Medicago truncatula: one gene and its partner. The protein of the gene in region 2 interacts with the protein of the main gene of each other region in a pairwise test. Links are inferred from orthologs where the notes say so. Each region holds a gene or a part of one and is shown on either strand. Other genes may lie near its edges.

Region 1 (10,981 bases), on a different chromosome or scaffold from region 2:
TTTGATCTAGACGTTGATTTATTGATGATTTTGTGGGGGCATGTTTAGACTTCGCACGTAAAATTAGAATGATGATTTTCAAAAATTCATAATTATTGATGTTTTTCTAACAAAGGATGCAATAATTATGAATTTTTAAAAGCGTCAAAAACTCATGAAAAAACAAAATCATGAAAATCTCAAGCTATAAATTAAATTTTGAGTTGATTTTTTGCACACTCCTCGATAAAACTACATAGAGAGGATCTACAAAGTTTTATAGTATTCTGAATATGCCTCGATTTATTTTGATTTTTCAATCAAAATTGCAATTTTGCTATGAGTTGGCATGTAATCATAGGTCCAATTTAATTCACTAATTTTTCTAGCATGATTACAACATAATAAAGTTCACCTCTAAATTTTGGAGTTTTTAAACGAGTGACAAATTAATTATGAATTTTCATTCCCCAAAATTATGAATTTCTTAAACAATTCATAATTAATTCACCTCTTGTTTAAATCTCTAAAAATTTTATGTTGAAGGTTCTTATGATGTTCTAACCATGTCTATAAAATTAGGGAATAAAATTTGACCCGTGAATATATGCTTACTCAAAATAAATTTCAATTTTGCATGTTGTTGTTGAAAAATTAAATTAAATTAAGGTGTAGTTGAAATGCTACAAAACTTTGTTGATCCTTTCTATGTATTTCTATATTGGTGTTTACAAAAAATCGACTTAAAATTTGATTTCTAGGTCAAAATTTTTGTTTTTTTTTTTTTTTGCTTTCGATGCTTTAAAAATTTATGATGGATATGTCCCTAGTCTTAAATTCTAGTTTTATGTGGAAAATCATATTTTAACATCATAAACCTGCCTAAAAAAAAAAAGAAATTGAAAGATTCAACTTTAGGTCATTTTTCTCGACTGTATGAGTACAAGGAGAAATAGGAGGTCAAAAATTGGAAGAATATCGAGTTATATGTGTAGAATTTGTCCTCCTCATCATTAGAAGTTGAGTCGCCGCCTGCTGCCCCCCACCCCCAAACCTTTTGAATTTTCTCAATATTGTCCATTCCAACCTTCTTCAAAATAAGGGCCCTATAGTGGAGGAACTTATCTCGATGACACTGCTTCTGAATATGTGATATATGAAGAAGCTTGATCTCTTAAATGTTCATAAACATCATTAGCTTCAAGGACCTCAACATCATTACTGTTATGAGTAACTTGATCCTCTTTGAAAACCTTCATGTTGTACTGTGCATTATCAATAATCACATGATAAAAATTTGGTGATTGTACAGCCACTCCTTGTGATTGTTTGTTTGTATCTTGTGCATCATCATCATTAGCAACAAGCATTTCCTCTGGTTGTTTGTTTGTGTCATTCACCTTAAGTGCATTCAATGTTGGCATCTCTGTATCCTTGGGAGGATCATGAATGGTGATCGGTTGTTTGGAATAATTCTCCTTGGGCTCGAGCAAGTTTGACACGTACTGAGTCTCCCTTAATGCAAGGTTTGATCATCATTGACAAGAGTTTGCACAAAGGTGTGTTGTTATTGTTTTTTTTTAACAAACAAAAATGATATGTATTATAAACAAGTTGTTTAGTTACCCTGCAAAAGGTAAACCAACCAACACAAAACAACAAGATGGTGTCGTTCTTAATAAAGCACCAGGAAAGAGTTATAGTCAATTACACAGTAACATCCATACAAGGAAGTGGATTTTTCCACCAATCATGATAACTATAATTAAAAGATATCTGCGGAATAATCACAAGCTTCATTTTGGAACACACAGTTGTTTCTTTCCTTCCAAATAGCCCACACGGTAGCAAACCAAATTATTTTCAAGGAGTAGGTGGCTCTAGGCAATCTAGCCATATTAGTAAATTGAAGTAAATGTTGTCGACTTTCACCTGGGAGCACCGCAGAAAGACCCATCCAATGTAACACATGGGACCAAAGCAAACTAAAAGTGTTGCAACCAAAAAATAAATGGGATGCGGTTTCTGGTTCACCGCAACCAAACACACAAACCGAGTCAGATATCAGCAAAGCACGTCGCCGCACCAAATTATCTCGTGTGGGCAATCTATTCCGTAGGAAGCGCCACGAACAGACACCTTTGAAGGGATAAACTTGTGCCATACATCAACTACCATCGACCTGTCCACCGGGTTACCATTGTTGGTGAGAAAGTTGTAAGCCTCCCGAACTGTGTAACGATGAGAAGGATGTAATAACCACCTCCTGCACCGTGTGTTGTTATTTTATTTTTTTTTGTAAACTCGGTATCCGACGTGTGTTGTTATTCTTGTTGGTGGTGATGAGGCTCCTTGGGCTCATTGACAGAATTCATACATCTCCAAGTGCATATCGGCAAATCAATGGCCATGGTGGCAAAGCCCTAGGTCAGAAAGGGCGACACCTACTACAGTAACCACTGATCTCCAATCTGAACATGATTGATTGACTCAAGCAGGCTGCAGTTACAACGTGACTTGATTTGCACCAAAATAATCCACCGATGAATTAAATAATATTAACACAATACACTGAAAATAATGAAAATGATGGATGGAAGCAATTGATGATGCCCACCAACCGAATTGCAAGATGCAAATGTTGATCAGTGGAAACAAGATGGAATAATGTATATATTCATGTAAAATTGCTCATATAATTTTGATAATCGACACTCATGTTAGGGAAACCTAGCAGACTTTAAAAGTGTTGAACAAAACATAACCGTAGAGATCCTTAAACATTATTACTGATTGCTGAAAATTAATAATTTATTACGAATAATTCTTTATTTCGTATGCCACTTTCCAACATTATCAGTACAAAATTCTAATTCTTTAACTAGTAAATTATGTGATTTCTCCTGTCTTCAATATAAAACATATGGGTGATCGACGCATGGTAAGGTGAAGATTACTAAGTTTCATATCTGAATTTTCAAGAATATGGACGATTTTTGAATGCACAAAGCAATTTATGGAGAACAAATATTGAACATTCCTAAGTTTTTTGGAGAAGGATATGATTTTATTTATATTTTTATAAAAAAAAATTAGTTATTCACCATCTTTCAATAACAATTGATGTTGTTCATTCATCCTCTTCATTGATCTAATCTTCAAAAACAACTCCTCTTTCTCAATTTAACTAAAGGGAATTCCTTCAACTTCCAACTTGGTTACCTTAGCCTCCAAGGTTGTCTTCTCATCGGATAAACCCTCTGCCTAGGCTTTATATTCACTTTTCCTGTGAGGTTCATTCTGCTTAGAAGCAATCGCCTAGCTATCATCCTTCTTGGCGAGCCTCGTCAACTTCTCTTGAAGGTTAGACATGGCGTATGCGAGCAAGACAAGAAAGCTAAGTTAATAACCAATGCACAAAAACAAAATATATATCAAGTTAAAAAAATACAAACTTTACATAGCAAGGTCCTTGCCTCTAAGGCATTCGAACACCTGACAAGCTTGAAGTTGTCGATGAAACAGGGCTCGGTAATAGGCGAACCCTCAAAGTCATACAGAGACTCCTACTTTACTGACTACGACTGCATAAGGGATTAGGCTAAAATCATAAGCCCATAACTTATTATAGTTATTGGTCTCCTTCGCCCACAACTGCTCGTGAAACTTTTTAAATCGGTTAAACCAATTTAAAAAGTGATTGGACCGATCTAATGAAATGACATTTTGTAACGCCCTAGTCATTATTTTATTTATTTTAGAATTATTTAGAGTCTTTTATGTGTTTTTAAATAATATTTGTGATTTATGTGGTGTGTATTATTTTATTATATGATTTATTTTAATATAATGAGAATAATATGAGAAATAGAGTTATTTTGGAGTGTGGGGAGTTAATTAAGAATTAATAGAATTAAGGGGAGTTTAATGAAATAAAGGGGAGTTAAGTTTTGGAAGTTAAGAAAAAGAGAAGTCAGAAAAACGTTTTACGTGAAACAAGTTTTGGGAGAGAAGAACCAAGAACAAGGGGAGAGAAGAACAAGTAGAGCCAAGATCATCCGTGTGTCGTGCGATTTTCTGAATTAAGGTATGGGTGAGACTATCTCTCAATAATCATAGTATATAATTTCTGAAAATTGATCTAATTGAATTGTTCTTGAATAAAAATTGGGAATTAGGGTTGATGCTGATTTTGAAGGAAATGGTGTAAGAATCATGTTTAATGTGTTTAGTTTTCGTGTTCAGAATGATTTCTTAATCTATAATGTTGCTGTGATCAGAATTTGAGGGAGATTAGAATTGGTTGGGAAAATTGGAGAGGTTTTGTATGATTGCTAGAATGATCAGAATTGTTGTTGTTGATGTCTGTTTTGTGTTCCTTTAGATGCCTAGTTGTGTATTGAACCTGTAAACATCTGTTGGAAAACGTTTTGGGTGATCAGGGGACTAAAATTGGGTTTTGGAGTGAGGAGAGGTTTGAACCCGTAGGTTTTTGCACTGCCCAGATGAATGGTCGCTTAAGCGAACGACCCGTCGCTTAAGCGAGCATTCAAGCAAGCTGCCCAGAATTCTGTTTTGTCAGTTCGCTTAAGCAAACTGTGAGCGAGCCTGTAAGCAAAAAAATAATTCCATTCTGTCAAGAGTTCGCTCAAGCGAACTGTAAGCGAACCCGTAAGCGAAAAATCAATTTCATTCTGTCAGAAGTTCGCTTAAGCGTACCGTTAGCGAGCGGAACCCCAACTTTCTGTAAGCTGGTCGCTTAAGCGAACTAGCCGTCGCTTAAGCGAAGATGACCTTAGTCAGCCACCTTTTGAACTTTTGCCTCGTGCACTAGGGGATTCTTTTGAGTATTTTTAAATGTTCCTTTCAACTTGTAAGACCATTATATATACCCTGAATCCTACTTAACACATTGTTAATCGAATTGGTGGAATTTAATGAATTTTCGGATTGGAGTGAGTATGAAACCAAGTGAAAATATACTATGTTGAATGAACTTGATGTATTAGTATGATTGTTATTAATTATACATTTTTCTGATGTTGGATTGGTTTGTAATGATGTTGTTGAATTATGGAGTCGTATGTCATATATATATATATATATATATATATATATATATATATATATATATATATATATATACATTGTCGGGTTGTATGTAGATATACACAAGTGAAGTCAGTTGCATAAGCATAAAAGCGGGAGGGCTTCGGCCCTGGAACGCCTTGTCGTTCAAAGCGGTGGAACTCTTGTTGTTCAAAGCGGTGATGACTTATGTCCTGAAGGAATGCTTTAACCATTCAATAGCGGTCAGGACCTATGTCTTGAACGAATGCTTTAACCATTCAATTAGCGGTGAGGGCTTCGGCCCTGAATATGGTACCACATGCATAGTTGCAATTGTCGAGGAGTCTTAGAGGTGTTGTCATGTCATTGCATGAGTCGTTGTTGTTGGTTGAATTGCTATATTAATGATGATGTTGTTGATTATGAAATACTTATGCATATTGAATAATCATTGAAATTTTAGGGTGTTAGATTCAGTTGATGTTATTATATATTATTATTATTGTTTGTGAATCTCACCCCTTCTGCTTGAAAATGTTGCCCTTCCTATGGGTAACTTGCAAGTGATCCTGAGTAGCAGGTGGTGGCTCAAGTGTCTAGGGCTCTGATACGTACGGGATGGGAATTTCTTATTTGTTTTTCATTCCTTATGTATCAATTGTTGGAATTTGCTGATGTAGCCCTATGCTTGATTTTGTTGGATTTATTTTGATGAGGCTTTTATGCCAATATATTTTATGGAGGATTAAACGGTTAATGTTGTCGTTTTGATGCAAATATTCCGCTGCAAAATAATGATATTTTTGAAGGATGTTTTATTAAATAGTTTTATATTCTATTTAAGAAAATTTGAAAAATGAAGTGTGACATGCCCGTTTGGGTTATTACTCTGATGAATTATTTATTAATTAATTTCTTTGGGATAACGAGGTGTTACAATTGGTATCAGAGCAGGTTGGTCCGTCCGGCCAAGTAGTAGAGTCGTGTTGAGCCACCTAGGATAGAGTGTCAACTCTAATGTTGTCTTTGTTGTTGTTCTGAATGGTTGTTTCTTATGTAGAACTTTGAAATGGCTGGTCGTAATGATGAGAGGAGGCCCAAGAGGAGAGATGCTCCTGCTGAGATTGTTTGCTACAAGTGTGGTGAGAAAGGCCACAAAAGTAATGTTTGTACTAAAGATAAGAAGAAATGCTTTAGGTGTGGACAGAAGGGACACACATTAGCTGATTGTAAGCGGGGAGACATAGTTTGCTATAACTGCAATGAGGAGGGCAATATCAGTTCATAGTGTACACAATCGAAGAAGGTTAGAACCGGTGGTAAAGTGTTTGCTCTGACTGGTACGCAAACCACTAGTGAGGATCGACTTATCAGAGGTACTTGTTTCTTTAATAGTACTCCTTTAATTGCTATTATAAACACTGGTGCTACTCATTGTTTCATTGCTATTGAATGTGCTTATAAGTTGCGTCTGGTTGTATCTGATATGAGAGGGGAAATGGTTGTTGAAACTCCAGCTAAGGGTTCAGTAACTACTTCTCTTGTTTGTCTAAGGTGTCCGTTGTCTATGTTTGGTAGAGACTTTGAAGTCGACTTAGTTTGGTAGAGGATTAAACGGTTAATGTTGTCGTTTTGATGCAAATATTCCGCTGCAAAATAATGATATTTTTGAAGGATGTTTTATTAAATAGTTTTATATTCTATTTAAGAAAATTTGAAAAATGAAGTGTGACATGCCCGTTTGGGTTATTACTCTGATGAATTATTTATTAATTAATTGCTTTGGGATAACGGGGTGTTACACACTTAACTACCGTTTTGTGGCAAACGACAGTCTACTACTACGCATCCAACGGTAGTTGCATTTTTTGAGCAGTTAGTGGGTGCCTAAAGAGCAACTCTCTTCTCTTAGGCTTCACATATGTTGGGTTACTAGGCCCAATGGACTCTTCAACTATTGGATCGATAAACTCTTCAGCTGATGGTGGAGAATTGCTATCACACACACATAACCAATTTTATCAAAATATTTTAAAGTATGTATACCTATGCATTCCAAATCAATCAACTAAAACCAAAACCACAGGCAGAGCAAGCATTAGGTAGGAAGTCGCCGGGAAGAGTCATTTGGTGAAGTTGTGGTCCCCTTTGTCATCACAAAGTCAAGTTAAGATTTGAAAACAACCAAAACGACAATATTGTCACCAAGACCATTAATTATTGATATATACAAAGTAACAAAACGATGCTTCCTCTCTCCATCTTGGAATCTCTATAGAAGGCAACATTTTATTTACTTTATTGCTTTCTTTTAGTTTATTTCTTCTTTTCTTCCATTATAACCCCCTCATATTTATATACTCTTCACTCCTTATTTTCCACTCAACCAATTCCTCTCTCCATTCTAAATTTAGCACACTCCTCTCTTAAGTCTTAATCCTCTTCAAAAAAACAGAACAACCTCAATTTAGAAGTATGGAACAAAACATAGAATTCACTTTTTGGTCCTCAAACAACCTAGAAATTCAAAATTCAATTTCTCAAAGCAATAACATGAAACAAACACAAACCCATTTTCAAATCCCTCAAACCACTTTCTCCAAACCTCCAAGGTCATCCTCAAACCTAAGCAACCGCAAACCCTCCTTGAACATCACAATCCCTTCTATAACAAAACCTCTCCCACAACAAAACATAGTAAAAAGTGAAAACACCAACACCAAAGAGGATAATAAGCACTATAGAGGTGTTAGAAGAAGAACATGGGGAAAATTTGCTGCAGAAATCCGTGACCCTAATAGAAAAGGATCAAGAGTATGGCTTGGAACCTTTGATACAGCCATAGAAGCTGCAAAAGCTTATGATAAAGCTGCTTTCCAGATGAGAGGAAGTAAAGCCATATTGAACTTCCCTCTAGATGTTGCTACTGATTCTGTAGAATCATCACTTTCTAACTGCATCAAAGTTGGTAAGAAAAGACAAAGAGATGAAGGGAACTGTGTTGAGATTAATAATAATAATAATAATATTAAGCAAGTTAAGAAAGAAGAAGGGGTTTTAGCTGCTCCTTTGACTCCTTCATGTTGGAAAGGGTTTTGGGATACTGATGTTATGGGAACTATCTTCAGTGTTCCTCCTTTGTCACCCTTATCTCCACTCATGGGATTTTAAGATTAATTAATTAAGCCCTTGTAATAAACCAAGTTGTTTGGACTTCGGTGATAAGGAACTCCTTCCAAGAACATACCTGAGGAATACTGGGTTCGATTTCCAGGGGAAGCAATGCTTGGCTAGTGCGCATGCCTCTACACATGAGCCAGATTAGTCGCTCACCTTTGATGGGTTGAAAACCGATGCTAAAGCCAAAAAAATAAAATTAAGCCCTTATAATCATGTTAAGGTGTTAATTAAAGTCCTTAAAGCCCTTATCTCCACTCATGGGATTTGTATCACATATATACTAGTTGTTGAAATAGGAGGAGTGTTAATAGTATATTTTTGTAGGTGAAGATTAGATATATATTGGTTGGTTTTAATTTTAGTGTAAATATAGGAAGATTGAAGCTAGTGTTTAATTCTTTTATGTATGTCCATTTGGTGAAAGAATATTGAAATTTGTTTATTCGTTTATTGGAGAAAACGTTGTCCATGAAACTACAGTGTATGTATGTAACTTATGTTATAATTCTGCATCTTTGAAGCAAAAAACTTGGCACACACATGCAATCATTGTGGTAGACACACATCCTGTGATGCGTTTCTCATACATGCTTTATAGAATTTTTATTCTTGTCAATTTTTAACTAGCTTCAATTCATTAAAATAAGATGCTAAAATTAATTAGAAATTATATTTGATCCATATGACATGGCAGTGCGGAAAACCGCATGAGAGAGGATGTATTCATGACTAAAGCTCTTGATATTTGTCCGGGTCAATTCGTCGATATTATAGGAAAGACTATGATATTTAATTTGAGGCCTGAAAAATATAAAACCGGGTCATTTTGGTATGCATGCTATCCCCAACTATATGCAATCTTTCATTTTGAAGAGAAATATATAAAAAAATACTTGTAAAAGTGTCACATATCCTTACCGATAAATCTAGGGTCGGATACCAAGTTGTTGGGTATTGGGCTCCCTTCCTATGTGGAGAAAAGACTAAATATGTTAGTTCATTATATCTCACTTATATAAGTATCTTCTTATATATCTTCTTATATATTAAAGTTAACATGTAAGTCCTAATTTTAACTTAAATCCTAATCTTCTTATCTTCTTATATATTAAAGTTAACATGTAAGCCCTAATTTTAACCTAAACCCTAATCTTCTTATATATTAAAGTTAACATGTAAGCCCTAATTTTAACCTAAACCCTATTGCATAATTTTACTGTTTTAACCCTAATGCTCACACCTAATCTCCTATTTTCATGAACAACCCTAATGCTCTCACCTAATCTTCTTATATATTAAAGTTAACATGTAAGCCCTAATTTTAACCTAAACCCTATTGCATAATTTTACTGTTTTAACCCTAATGCTCACACCTAATCTCTTCTTATATATTAAAGTTAACATGTAAGCCCTAATTTTAACCTAAACCCTATTGCATAATTTTACTGTTTTAACCCTAATGCTCACACCTCTTCTTATATATTAAAGTTAACATGTAAGCCCTAATTTTAACCTAAACCCTAATCTTCTTATATATTAAAGTTAACATGTAAGCCCTAATTTTAACCTAAACCCTATTGCATAATTTTACTGTTTTAACCCTAATGCTCACACCTAATCTTCTTATATATTAAAGTTAACATGTAAGCCCTAATTTTAACCTAAACTCTATTGCATAATTTTATTGTTTTAACCCTAATGCTCACACCTAATCTCATATTTTCATGATCAACCCTAATGCTCTCACCTAATCTTCTTATATATTAAAGTTAACATGTAAGCCCTAATTTTAACCTAAACACTATTGCATAATTTTACTGTTTTAACCCTAATGCTCACACCTAATCTCCTATTTTCATGAACAACCCTAATGCTCTCACCTAATCTTCTTATATATTAAAGTTAACATGTAAGCCCTAATTTTAACCTAAACCCTATTGCATAATTTTACTGTTTTAACCCTAATGCTCACACCTAATCTCCTATTTTCATGAACAACCCTAATGCTCTCACCTAATCTTCTTATATATTAAAGTTAACCCGTAAGCCCTAATTTTAACCTAAACCCTATTGCATAATTTTACTGTTTAAACCCTAATGCTCACACCTAATCTCCTATTTTCATGAACAAAGCAAATCGGCATCGCTTTATCTCCCCTATTTCTTCAAAACAAATCGCCCTATTTCTTCAACAAAACAAATCGCCCTATTGGAATATAAGGGTTTTGAAAGATTATAGCAATATTTTTTTTTGTTAATATTACACTTTTCATCCAAATTAGAACTGAACTCTCTTTGTTAAATATTTACCACAAAATGCACCAGAATTTTGCAATCTATATAAACAGGTGGAAGAAACATTTCAACAAACAGTTAAAGGGTATCATTTATGGTAAAGGCCAAATATTCGATAAAAGGAAAATTATTTAAATAAAACATTTTACATGTTGAGGTTAAGAATGAGCTATTTTTTGGTACATAATATAACATTAACATATAATTTTTACAAAAGAATGAAGTAACATTTTGTCAAAAAAAAAAAAGATGAAGTAACATACCAATAATATAACGTTGACATATAATTTTAACAAAAGAATGAAGTTACACACGATTGATAAAAATTAATATTTTTCAGGTGAATAAGTGTGGTGTATGAGGTTCGAATTCCAACATCTGCATATATTTGGACCACATATTTCATTCTCTTTGATATGCATTAAGATTTGTTTTTGTCTACTACATCTACAATGTA
Region 2 (11,774 bases):
AATAATCTTGTTTGTGCTTTGCTTGAACAAAGCTCCTGTGTGTGCACGAGACTGGAAAAAATGGATGTCCTAGTTTCTATTCTCTTTGACAGCGAAGCAAAGATTTGAAACAAATAAAAATCTCCATGCAAATAAGAAAACAATTTTTTCAGTTAAATATATTAACAATAGGTATCGATGGATTGACAAGATGACTGCACTTCATAAGTTGGGTACTTCCAAAACTCTCTTGATCCAAAAATTTCAACTAAAGGAACATGATCATTTACTTAGCTTTTTTTTTTTTTCTCCAAAATTACATCAATCTATATAAGAGATAAAATAATGACATCATTTATTACAAAAGCTATACTATTGTATATCCCAAAAATTGAAAACGCCTTAAGACATAGAAGTTATAATTGCTCTCTATGTGGCTTCATCTTTTTAAAGTTTATAGGTTCTTTTCATTTTCAACACTATCAAAAATTTATCTACGAATGTGACTATGCTTTTCATTCTTCACGATTAATAGGTGCAAGGAAAACTGTAAAAAGACCAACAAACTAAACTTACATCCTATTAATTGATTCTAACCAAAGGTAAGCAAAGAAATAGGTTTGCAATGTCACATATCAATAGAAATAGAATACGTTTAACAGATGAAATCATAAACAACCGATTTCTGAAGAATATAAAATCAGTATAAATTGGGCATCCCAAAAGCAAAAACAAAAGCATTCAGATGCAGCATGTAGATGCAAATTATCAACTGATAATAGATGAACTGAATAGACAACATTTAATAAGAACTGATGATGCCAGAAACTATGAAAATCATGAAGTATGCATATGGACATCATTATATCTATAACCATCAATACAGAGCCTCAGGCAATGAGAACTTACCAGTAATTCTTTTTCTTGGATCAAAAGTTAACATTTTTTCAACAAGATCTATAGCTTCAGGATGGACTTGCGGAAACTTTTCTTGGAAAGATTGACGGCGGTAAGGAGGTAGTTGCCTAATGTATCTCTTAGCATTTTCATTCAGAAACCCCAAATCATCTTCTGACGGGGTACCGATCAACTGTAAAATATGAAGCATTGCAGTTATATTGATACATTGATTTCAAAGCATACTGTCAAAAGCAAACTATATATATCTTAATAATGGACGGGCTAACAAGATACATAAATACTCCTATAGAAAAATCAAATAATGTCCAAACTATATATATCCATATCATCGTTTTGAACTATGTTGTAAATCCCAAAAAATGGAGTAAACATAAATTCCAACAAGATACATAAATACTCAAATAGAAAAATATAAAAAATTAAAAGGGACAATTATACTTTTTTTTTATTTTTAAATAGGGACAATTATACTTAATAATTCAATTTAACTGACATTTAATAATTTATTTTAAATTATACTATGTATGTATATGAATAATTTTTTGAAGTTAATTATACTCTATTACCCACAGTAAACATCTGTTAGACATTGCGAACATACTTGGCACATTGTGTGGTTTATAACAGGCCCATTATGTGAAACAAACCCTAAAGCTACAATGTCCATTCTCTAAACCCTAAATATAAAACATCATCCCCAATAGGTGTGTATCAGTCACCGCCTCCACACTGTCTGTTGTGCCCCTCCATGTTTTCGTCCTCATACCACATTTCTTCTTTCTTTTTCGTTTCTTCTCAATAGATAAGGATGGTGGTCTGAAAACCGCAGATTGTGACCGGAAAGTCTTCTACTTGATGGAAACGCAGCCGCGGTTCGCAGCCGCTAACACTGCAACTGTTGCAGATGAATAAAGAGTATTGCACCGAATGTCATTGCCACTCCGCAAGTGCGGCGCCATTAAAAACATAGGTTAGAATGAAGGTGTTGAAATATTCTGTAATTATTTATTCCAATGAGAATGGTGCTCCTTTCATCGGAGAGAGTGCATAAAAACACTTCATAAATTAATGAGTGATTTAAGGAATTGAAATAAAACAAAATAAATGTCAGATCAAATAGTATCAAGGCTAACAATGACAATATTTCAACAAAAGGATCTGATGGTACTCAATAATTGACATAATTTAATGAAATTTAACCTGACTAATTATTATACTCAAGAATGATACTGCGATGAATTTCAATTCAAGAATGTGTTGGTTTCAAAATCAGCAGGTTAATCATTTGAACTACAAAAGCTAATGAAATCAATAACTCTTAAACTTCTTCAAACACCAAAGACGGATAAAGAAGTTACCTCCATGAGTAGACGCAGCTGATGCACGTGATCTCTGCCAGGAAACAAAGGCTTTCGATCCATCAGTTCCATGAAAATACAACCAACAGACCATACATCAATTGCTGCTGTATAATCAGAAGAGTTTAACAGAAGCTCTGGTGCACGGTACCATCTAGTAACAACATATTCAGTCATAAAATCGGTTTCAGATGTTACACGGGCCAGTCCAAAATCACAAATCTTTAAGTCACAGTTGGCGTTCAGGAGAAGGTTGCTGGGTTTTAAGTCCCTATGCAGAACATTTGCAGAATGTATGTACTTCAAACCACGAAGGATTTGGTACAGAAAGTACTGCAGAAGAAGCAAAAAAAGGAGCTTATAATGGTGTCATGGATAAGATTTAATAATCTCCGCGATAAATAGGTTATTTTAAAAGGGGTGGTTTATTTAAATGTATACCTGACAGTGCTCCTCCGATAGTGCTTGATTTGATCGAATGATTTGGTGAAGGTCAGTGTCCATTAGCTCATATGCAATGTAAACATCATTGAATACCTCCCTCTGGGGTGGTGGCACTATATCCCTGATTGCAACCACCTACAAAATAATTACATTAGGCAAACCAAAATGCCAGTTAAAACAAGAATTTCTAATGCTAACAAGTTTTGGTATTTCTCCTCATGAAGATATTGGACACCCCGTTTGTCCTGCATCCAGCCCCTAAAATATAAGACACGCTATAGACTTATATGACCAAAGAATGAACACATTTTTCCCTTTTGTCGCTAAAATTACAAAACAAAAAGTAGCAACCCTTCTGTATAGAAAACCAGCGTCTATCAACCGGCACACGTGTAGTAAATTGCAGATCACAAAAATTAGCATTTTGTTCGAATTTCGCTATGCTACAATGATATAGCACCGCAATAGCGGCTATTTGACAACACTTTGTACTAAATAGAGGATCGCAGAACAATAGCTATTTGTTCCAAATTCTGCTATGCTATAGCGCCACTATATCAGCTATTTGATAGCACAGACCGGCACTACACAAGCGACAAGTGTCATGTTTGGCATATTGTAAAAAGCATCTAAAGTCAAACAAAAAATCAATAAAATACGCATGTTAAGACAGTGTCTGAATGGAAAATAACTGCTCCATCCAAGATTCCTTGCAAGAGGATAAACTAATCAATGATTGCAAGAATATCAAATAGAAACACGCGCTCTTCATTAAGTAAAAAAAAAAAGCGCTCATCATTGATTTTCCTTTTGGACAGAATTTTGTCGTGTCAAACTTTTTAATTTAATTACAGAAAAACATTCTATCATCCGGCACCAGTGATAACAATCGCATAGTGCAAAAAACAGTGTTTTATTCAAATTCTGCTATGCTACCGTGCTATAGCACCACAATAGCGGCTATTTGACAACACTTTGTACTAAATAGCGGATCGCGGAACAATAGCGGCTAATTGAGAACACTTTGAAATAAATAGCGGATCGCGGAACAATAGTGGCTATTTGAGAACACTTTGAAATAAATAGCGGATCGCAGAACAATAGCTATTTGCTCAAATTCTGCTATGATATAGCGCTGCTATATCTGCTATTTGACAACACTGACCGGCACTACACAAACGACAAGTTACGTGTATCGTAAAAAGCATCTAAAGTCAAATGTAAAATCAATAAATTACGCATGTTAAGACAGTGTCGGAATGGAAAATAACTGCTCCATCCAAGACTCCTTACAAGAGGACAAACTAATCAATGATTGCAAAAAAAAAGTGTTTCGTTCGAATTCTGCTATGCTACCGTTTTATAGCTTCGCAATAGTGGCTATGCCTATTTGACAACACTTTGTACTAAATAGAGGATCGCGGAACAATAGCTATTTGTTCCAATTCTTCTATGCTATTGAGCTGCTATATTCACTATTTGACAACACTCACCGGCACTAAGCGACAAGTAAAATACGTGACGTGTGTATTATAACATAAAAAGCACCTAAAGTCACGTGCAAAATCAATAAAATACGCGTGTTAAGACAGTGCCAAGATGGAAAATAACTGCTACATAAAAGAGGATAAACTAATCAATTATTGCAAGGATATCAAACAGTAATAGGCGTTCATCATTGATTTTCCTTTTGGAATGAATTTTGTCGTGTTGTTTACGATTCACACCCAATCTTGCACGCGCCACTAATTGTCAACGGCAATGATTTACTTTTCATAAATGCCAATCAAGTAAGTATGATATATAAAACAAACAAATGCATATTGGTCTCAATATCAACGACAATAATTTTACTTTTGGTAAATACGGATCAAGCAAGTATGATATATAAAACTAACAAATGCATTTTGGTCTCAATGTTTGTATAACCCATCGCGGTTTGTTTCAGCGGAAGCAATTGAAGAAAAACATTTTCCGATGCATATTTTACCAAATTAAGTTATTCTTGCTTCCACTAAAATCCTGCCCGAAACCTTACAAAAGCTAAAACAAATGGGCAAACAGATGTAAGGAACTAATGGATGTAGCCTTGAAGCCATTAACTAACCCCCTAAGTAGCTTCAAAGCTAAAATTGTTTCACAGCTAAAAAGGAACACGTAACACATATACCATTTACATCATATGAACAAAATGGTTGATTGATTTTGAAACACTCAAACACACAGATCAGGATCCAATAAACAAGTTAATCTCAAACCACAATAGATAGATATCATGCAACAAAGTATACTTATTCAATCATCACACACACACATACAAAACAAAAAAAACAATGATTTATTACTCACTAACGTTTTCATGATCCATATGGCGAAGCAGCTTGATTTCACGGAGAGTCCTCTTAGCATCAATCTTGTTGTCAAATGCATTTGCAATCTTCTTAACCGCAACATGTTCATTTGTCTCCGAATTATGAGCAGAGCTATTCACATACACCCCAAAATGAAACACAAAACCATAAACAAAATCCATTTTTCCAATCCCAACAAATAAAAAAATAATAAAAATCAAATTTTCATATAAAAAAAAAAAACAAACTTTATGATGAATTTGATCTGAAAAATGAAAAAGAGAAAAAAAGGGTATAACATACCAAACAATACCATAAGCGCCTTTACCGATTGGCATGATGGGTGGTTTGTATTTTGCAGTAACTTCAAAAATGTTACCGAAAATGTTGTATTGAATGAACCTACCCCCATGGCTAAGGGTTGCCGGAATATTCTCGATCCCCATCTGCGGCGGCGCCGGTGCAGCATCTGACATCACGGTGTCAGCTGGTGGAGCTCCTCCTCCTTCCATTGTTGTTTCTCTTCTTCAAGCTCTGAAAAATTTGATTTTTATTTTGTTTTGTTAAGAAGAGAGAGAAAAAATGGTTAATGGGTGTTTTTGTTATTACTATGAAAAAAATGAATACGATGATGTTTGATGATGATGTTGGAAATTGGAGAGTTTAAGATTAGAAGTAAGAAAGAACCTGATTTGTGTTGTGAATGCTTTTGGTCAAACAGATCTGTACTATCTCTCCCTAACTCCTGCATAAACTGTCACCTCTCTCTTTTATATAATGTCTCTCTTTTTTTCTCTCTAATGAATATGACAATGAAAATTAATTTTAAGGTTAAGGATGTTAAGGATAATGTTCGGTTTAAGACAAAAATAAACCTTAGATTGAAATAGTGTTTATAAAAGTAACCAAAAAAAAATAGTGTTTATAAAAATATTTACATTTTCTAAAGATATTAAAAGGTATGTATGCGTAAAATTCCGTTTCAATAGATGTCTTTTTACCACTAAATTTACCTTATGGTTGTGTTTGCGAATTGGTTTTTTGAGAATTTTGGAGGGAAGATTTTGGAGAGTTAAATTTATATTTTGATATATGTTTGATGTTTAAAAAGAATATTGCGATATTACATGTCAATGTATCATATTAAAGTTGTGTATCTTTTATATTTATTTTGATCGTATTTAAACTTACGGTGAGGGGATCATGCACATGCACATGCACATGCACGAAAGACATCATAGGGTTTAAATACAAATTATAATGTGATTGCATTTACTCTTTTTAAAGATATTAACGGAACTCAGACATTAGACTTCATGATCTTACCACTTAAACTAACCTTTGGAGTTTTTGTTGTTGTTGTTGTTGTTCGTTTTTTCTTCTTCTTTCATTTCCCAAAATCCCTTTCTCTCTAAACCTCTCTTTGGTAAGAAATGTTGGATAATTGATAAGCTAACTTATAACGAATGAGGTTATAACGCTTAGCTTATAAGTTAGCTTGTAATTTCCTGATAAATTAGCCATTTAAATTTATAGTGATTCACAAAATTAATGGTTGAACTATTTTATAAATATGAAACGACGTAAAAAGATATGTTTAATTAACATATAATTTTTGCCAACTACGATGATCACGTATAAAATTGAGAAAAAAAATAATATGCGATAAGTTTTAAAGTAGAAATTAATTTAATTATCTTACCAAAATAAGTTATAAGTTAGTAAAAATAAACAATATACTTGTGAGGAAAAAAAATGTTACCAAATGAGTTTTTTTATTGTAAAAGTTAGTTTTCTGACTGCACCGTAGAAGCTCCTACTTATAATTCTTTTCGTAATTTTGGATGGATCGATGTGTTTCAGCTAGTACTTTCTTTCATGATATTATTGTTCATTAAAAATCCTTATCAAAAAGGGAAATTATTAGATTTTTAAACATTTGAAATATATTAAATGCTTTAATTTATATTTAATATATTTATATTTGGATTCTATAATTAAATTTCTACCGGTTAACAAAAACTTTGCTGTTTTCCTAAAAGAAAAAACTAAAACTTTGCTATTATGCTATTGGAACAAAATTAGACATCGGTAATTATGCCTTAATGGTTAACATACAATTTCTTTTTATTTCTACTTTCCCTACAAGAATGAACAAAAAATTGACAAATAAAGAAAAACAGGTTTCGTTTTTTAATTTTCTCGTTACCTTTAATCAAAATTTTGTAAAGTGAATAATTGGGGTACAATTTCTCATCTTTTTAAATAAGAGAGTATTATACAAAAAAAAAAAATTGTTTCAAAATAAATGTCACTTTCAATTTCAAATGCAATAATAACTTTTTATTTTCAATTGTACCATTCAATTAATATTATATACACTACTTCTAAAATATTATTTTTTTCTTTAATGAAAAAAGAACCAATAGTTGATTAGCATAATTTAGTAAAATAACATTTCTCTTTCTTTTAATTAACGCATTTCTTAATTTGTGTATAAAAACATTAAACGACGTTCATTTTAAAACGGAGGGAGTAGAATATTTATAGAAAAACGTACTCCCTCCGGTCTTGTAAGAAACAAAAAAGAAATGCACACATATTAAGAAAGTGGATTGACCACATTTAAGTCATTATAAAAAGTAATATTTTTCAATTATACCATTGTTTTGGAGCAGTAAAGACATTAATGATGAAGTGGGTTTAATGAGGATAAACTTGGAATTGTGGCATTTAATAGGTTCATTTTACTATATTTTTTCTTATATTTGAGACCACCAATTTTTTTTTTTTGTGACATTTGGAATTGTGAACTTTTTTTTGAGAGAAAATTTGGAATTGTGAACTTATTATGATTATATTGCTTTTATTGCATTGAATGTTACTCTTAGGTGTGTTTGGTTAAGAAGAGAAGTTGTGAAGAGAGAAATAGGTAAGAGAGAGAAAGGGAAGAGAGAAAAAGATGAAAAATAAAGTAGATTTGATGTATTGTTTGGTAGTAGAGAGATATAAAAGAAATAGAGATGAAAGAATTGTTGATTATTTTTAAAAGTACGAAAATACCCTAATTAATAAACCTTCAATCAAAATTAATTTGTTAAATAACTTAATCCAATTTCTATTCTAAATTGTTGACGATGATGATGAATTTTTTACAAAAGATGAAGATTATTTAATTAATTTGTAATTTCATCCAAATAAATTAGAACTCATTTTTTATTCTTATTGAAACTCATCTTATTAATAAGAACAAGACGAGAAAAAAGTGAAGGTATAAGTATGAATAAACATTTAAAAAAGCCTTAATTATCTTTCACCCATGCTCCTCCTCCATATATGGCATTCACCATTTCACGTGTGCCAGAGACTTCTTCCAATCTCAACACCACTGCCTTCAAGGTCATTTACTCCTATTTTTCTATTTTGCTTAAAAAATTGTTCGTCTACCACTAACAAATGATACCTTCAACTTGTCTTCTATAACTTTCCTTTGTTTTATCCTTCATATTCCATAATCATTGTTGCAATTTGCAGGAAAGATAATAAGTCATAAATGAAATTCAAATACAAGGGTAAAAATGGAATAACAAAAATATGACCCTTCTCTCTCCCATTTCTTCTCTGTTTTGTGGAGAAAACAAAAAGCAGTGGGTCCCACAGTTTTTTAGTCTCTCTTCTCTCTTTCTCTGCATTTCAAACAGGAGAAAGTTACTATCTCTTCTCTATTTCTCTCTTCCCTCTTTCTCTCTTTCTTATTTCTCTTCAACCAAACAGACCCTTAGTTTACTATTCATCCATATCCATATTGCATTCACTGTGTTTGGTTGGTGAGAAATAGGAGAGAGAGAAATAGAGTAGAGAGAATAAGATGAGAAGTTTGGTCTTTCTTTTGTTTTGTGCAGCAGAGAAACACGGGAGACAGATTAAAAAGCCATGGGTCCCACCTCTTTTTGTTTCTTCGCTGGTTTGAGAAGAAAGAGGGGAGAGAAGCAATATATGTGTGTTATTACCACCTTACTCTTGTCTTTTACCTAGTTTCTATCACACCCTCATGTTCTCAGCTGATTTGCCATCTCAAATGATCAGTCAGTATTTGTAGATAGAGAATAGGTGGTGCAATTTGTCAATATTTTTATTATTTTTTGAAGAAATGATAAGCATTATTTTCATAAGGAAACAAGACATTTTTATTTTTTTTGGATAAAGAACCAGGAGCTAAATGATTAGAAATGGTACATGTTGGTTTTACAATTCATATGTAATTATAAAATTATATTAACGTGGTTAATATATTAAGTAATTAAATAAACTAATTAATAGATTCAAACACAAATTAAATTGAAATTTATAACCTAAGGGTATTGTAGTAATTTTAAAATTATATATTTCATTTATTCTTTTATAAAAAAAATCTATTTAGTTAAAATAAGTAGTGGAATTAATTAATTAAATGTAATTAAATAAAATAATAAATTAATTTGGTTGAAAATGTTATTCAACATAGGGGCATTGTAGTACTTTTCAAAACAGATAATACTTCTCTCTTCTCTATTTCTTCTCTCTATCTCTTATACCAAACAACCCCTCTAATCTACTCTATTTCTCAGATACTTCTCTCTTCCCATACTCTCTTACCTATTTCTCTCTTCACAACTTCTCTTCCATACCAAACACACCCTAAAATATTTTAAGGAAGTTGTGCTCTTACCTTGGGAAATTAATTCCCCTTAAAAAACTTGGGAAGTTAATTAAAACTAGAAAATATTTTTGTCAAGCATTCATGCATTATGATGTTTTTCTATAGGAGTGCTGCATGGCGATTGGAAAATGGTGATTGTCAATTAAGTGTAATTCAATTGGTATTTGGTAGTTACTACGGATATTATATGTAGAGGTTGTGGTTTGAACTCTGAATTCTCTATTTTTTCTTATATAATGTGTGTGAATCTAACCACTATGTTACTTAAAAAAATTACATATGTATATATATTGCAATGCATTTGAAATGTTCAGTTAATTTGCATTATGGAGAATTGCATGTATATCCTTCTTCAATTTTCTCTAGCCCCTCCTCCTTTCATTATATGTTATGTGTTAGGTGAAATTGGCTCCTTTTAAAGTTAAGGAGACAATGTTTTTCTTTAGAAAATAGTGTTAAGTAATAAGTTTGTTATAAATGAAAAGGGTATTGGTAAGTTGACATCATAAAATAATATTGAAAGTAAGGATGTAGCTACGGCACGAGACCATTATAAGTCTCTCACCGTGCAAAACCTTTTAATTTTTTTTTTTGTTGCAAGTTGTTTAGATACCGTTGGATTTACTTTTATAAGCAAACGGCAGGGATGGATCTAAAAGGTCCCACAAGTTGACATGTTAAAATTTGTATTGTTGATAAACATTATGGTATTTATAGTTTCATTTAAAAAGGGTGATTTAATCAATGAACAAAAATACTACTGTTGAAAAATATAGTAGAATTATGGCCTTTGGATGTTGCGGAAAGACTCTGAAACAGATGGATTTACACCGTATATAATAAAAAAATTACAAGACTGGATTTTAAAATCGTTATTAATAATTGTCCTTATGTTTGTCGGCGACGTGTCTGTCTTTTTGGTTTTTTTATTGCGCTAACACGTGTAAATTATGAATGATATTTTATATGAAATTTTGATTTTGACTAAAACTATAAGTAAAAATATTTGTGACTTTCAAATCGTAAGAAACCCAAAAAACTGTGTTTATATTTTTCAATAACAACAATAATTTAACAAATATGTAAATCTCTATCTTTTTTAATACAACAATAATATAATATTAATATAGAAAAGTTTGGTTAAAGGTATAATTGAAATTATAAAGAATTCAGCCCAAATTTTGCATCCCCTTCATATATAATCAACACTATATTTTAAAAAAGAAGAAACATATTTTGACTCTTTTAGGCTAACTTTTTTTGTTCCCAAAATTACTCTCAACTTTCAATACAAATAACACATATAACAAATAGATAAGAGTAAATTCAAATATTAAAATATAAGTGTAACAAACACGATATGAGTATATACATGTCCAATTTTTTCTCCTTTATCCTTTAGAAAGTGTAACAAATTAGATTAGTATATCTATACTTACTTATTCATTCTTCCAATTATACTCATAAACAACTTTTTTCTATAATAAAGATTGTTGCTGGTGTCATTAAAAAAAATAAGAATTTAGATTATATTTTTGTTATATTGTTGGTGTCAATCTGTAAAATAATTTCTTTAAAAATCCAGTGAACATGGAATGACATTCCTGCTACGACGATTGAAACAGACTCAACCAACTAAAAATATCAAATATAATTAATTTGACCTTTAAATATGACCTAACTGGACCAAGAATGAAGTAGGAATTGGAATTGTGGTAATACAAAATCTTTGGTATAAGTCAATCCAACAAACCATACCTCCAAAAATCAAGTCACCACAAAAAGACATTGCTCTGACCACCAAAACGGATGCAACCGAATAAAAGATGGGTACATTGAATATGACCACCAAAATCTAGTCCGAACATTTTGTATTACCACAATTTCAGTTCCTACTTCATTTTTAGTCCAATTAGGTCACATTCAACGGTCAGATTGTTTATATTTGATACCGTTAGTTAGTTGGGTCCGTTTTGGTCGTTGGAGGAATGTCATTTCGTGCTGACTAGGTTTCAAGTTCAT

What was found.
Region 1: the proteins of mitogen-activated protein kinase homolog MMK1 (region 2) and ethylene-responsive transcription factor ERF104 interact in binary tests that used the Arabidopsis thaliana proteins (3 or more experiments, as listed by UniProt). The link is inferred for Medicago truncatula from reciprocal best matches to the Arabidopsis thaliana genes MPK6 and ERF104.

What each region holds. Positions count from the first base shown.
Region 1 is NC_053042.1:19,258,591-19,269,571, reverse strand, and holds ethylene-responsive transcription factor ERF104, read left to right. Parts: upstream 1-7,380; 5' UTR 7,381-7,524; coding exon 7,525-8,220; 3' UTR 8,221-8,703; downstream 8,704-10,981.
Region 2 is NC_053045.1:42,369,226-42,380,999, reverse strand, and holds the start of mitogen-activated protein kinase homolog MMK1, read right to left. Parts: upstream 5,902-11,774; 5' UTR 5,741-5,901; intron 5,588-5,740; 5' UTR 5,566-5,587; coding exon 5,357-5,565; intron 5,186-5,356; coding exon 5,056-5,185; intron 2,838-5,055; coding exon 2,700-2,837; intron 2,592-2,699; coding exon 2,259-2,591; intron 1,070-2,258; coding exon 889-1,069; intron 1-888. UniProt on the Arabidopsis thaliana protein: Mitogen-activated protein kinase (MAPK) which regulates abscisic acid (ABA) responses in a MAPKKK20-MKK5-MPK6 cascade involved in root growth (e.g. root cell division and elongation) and stomatal response.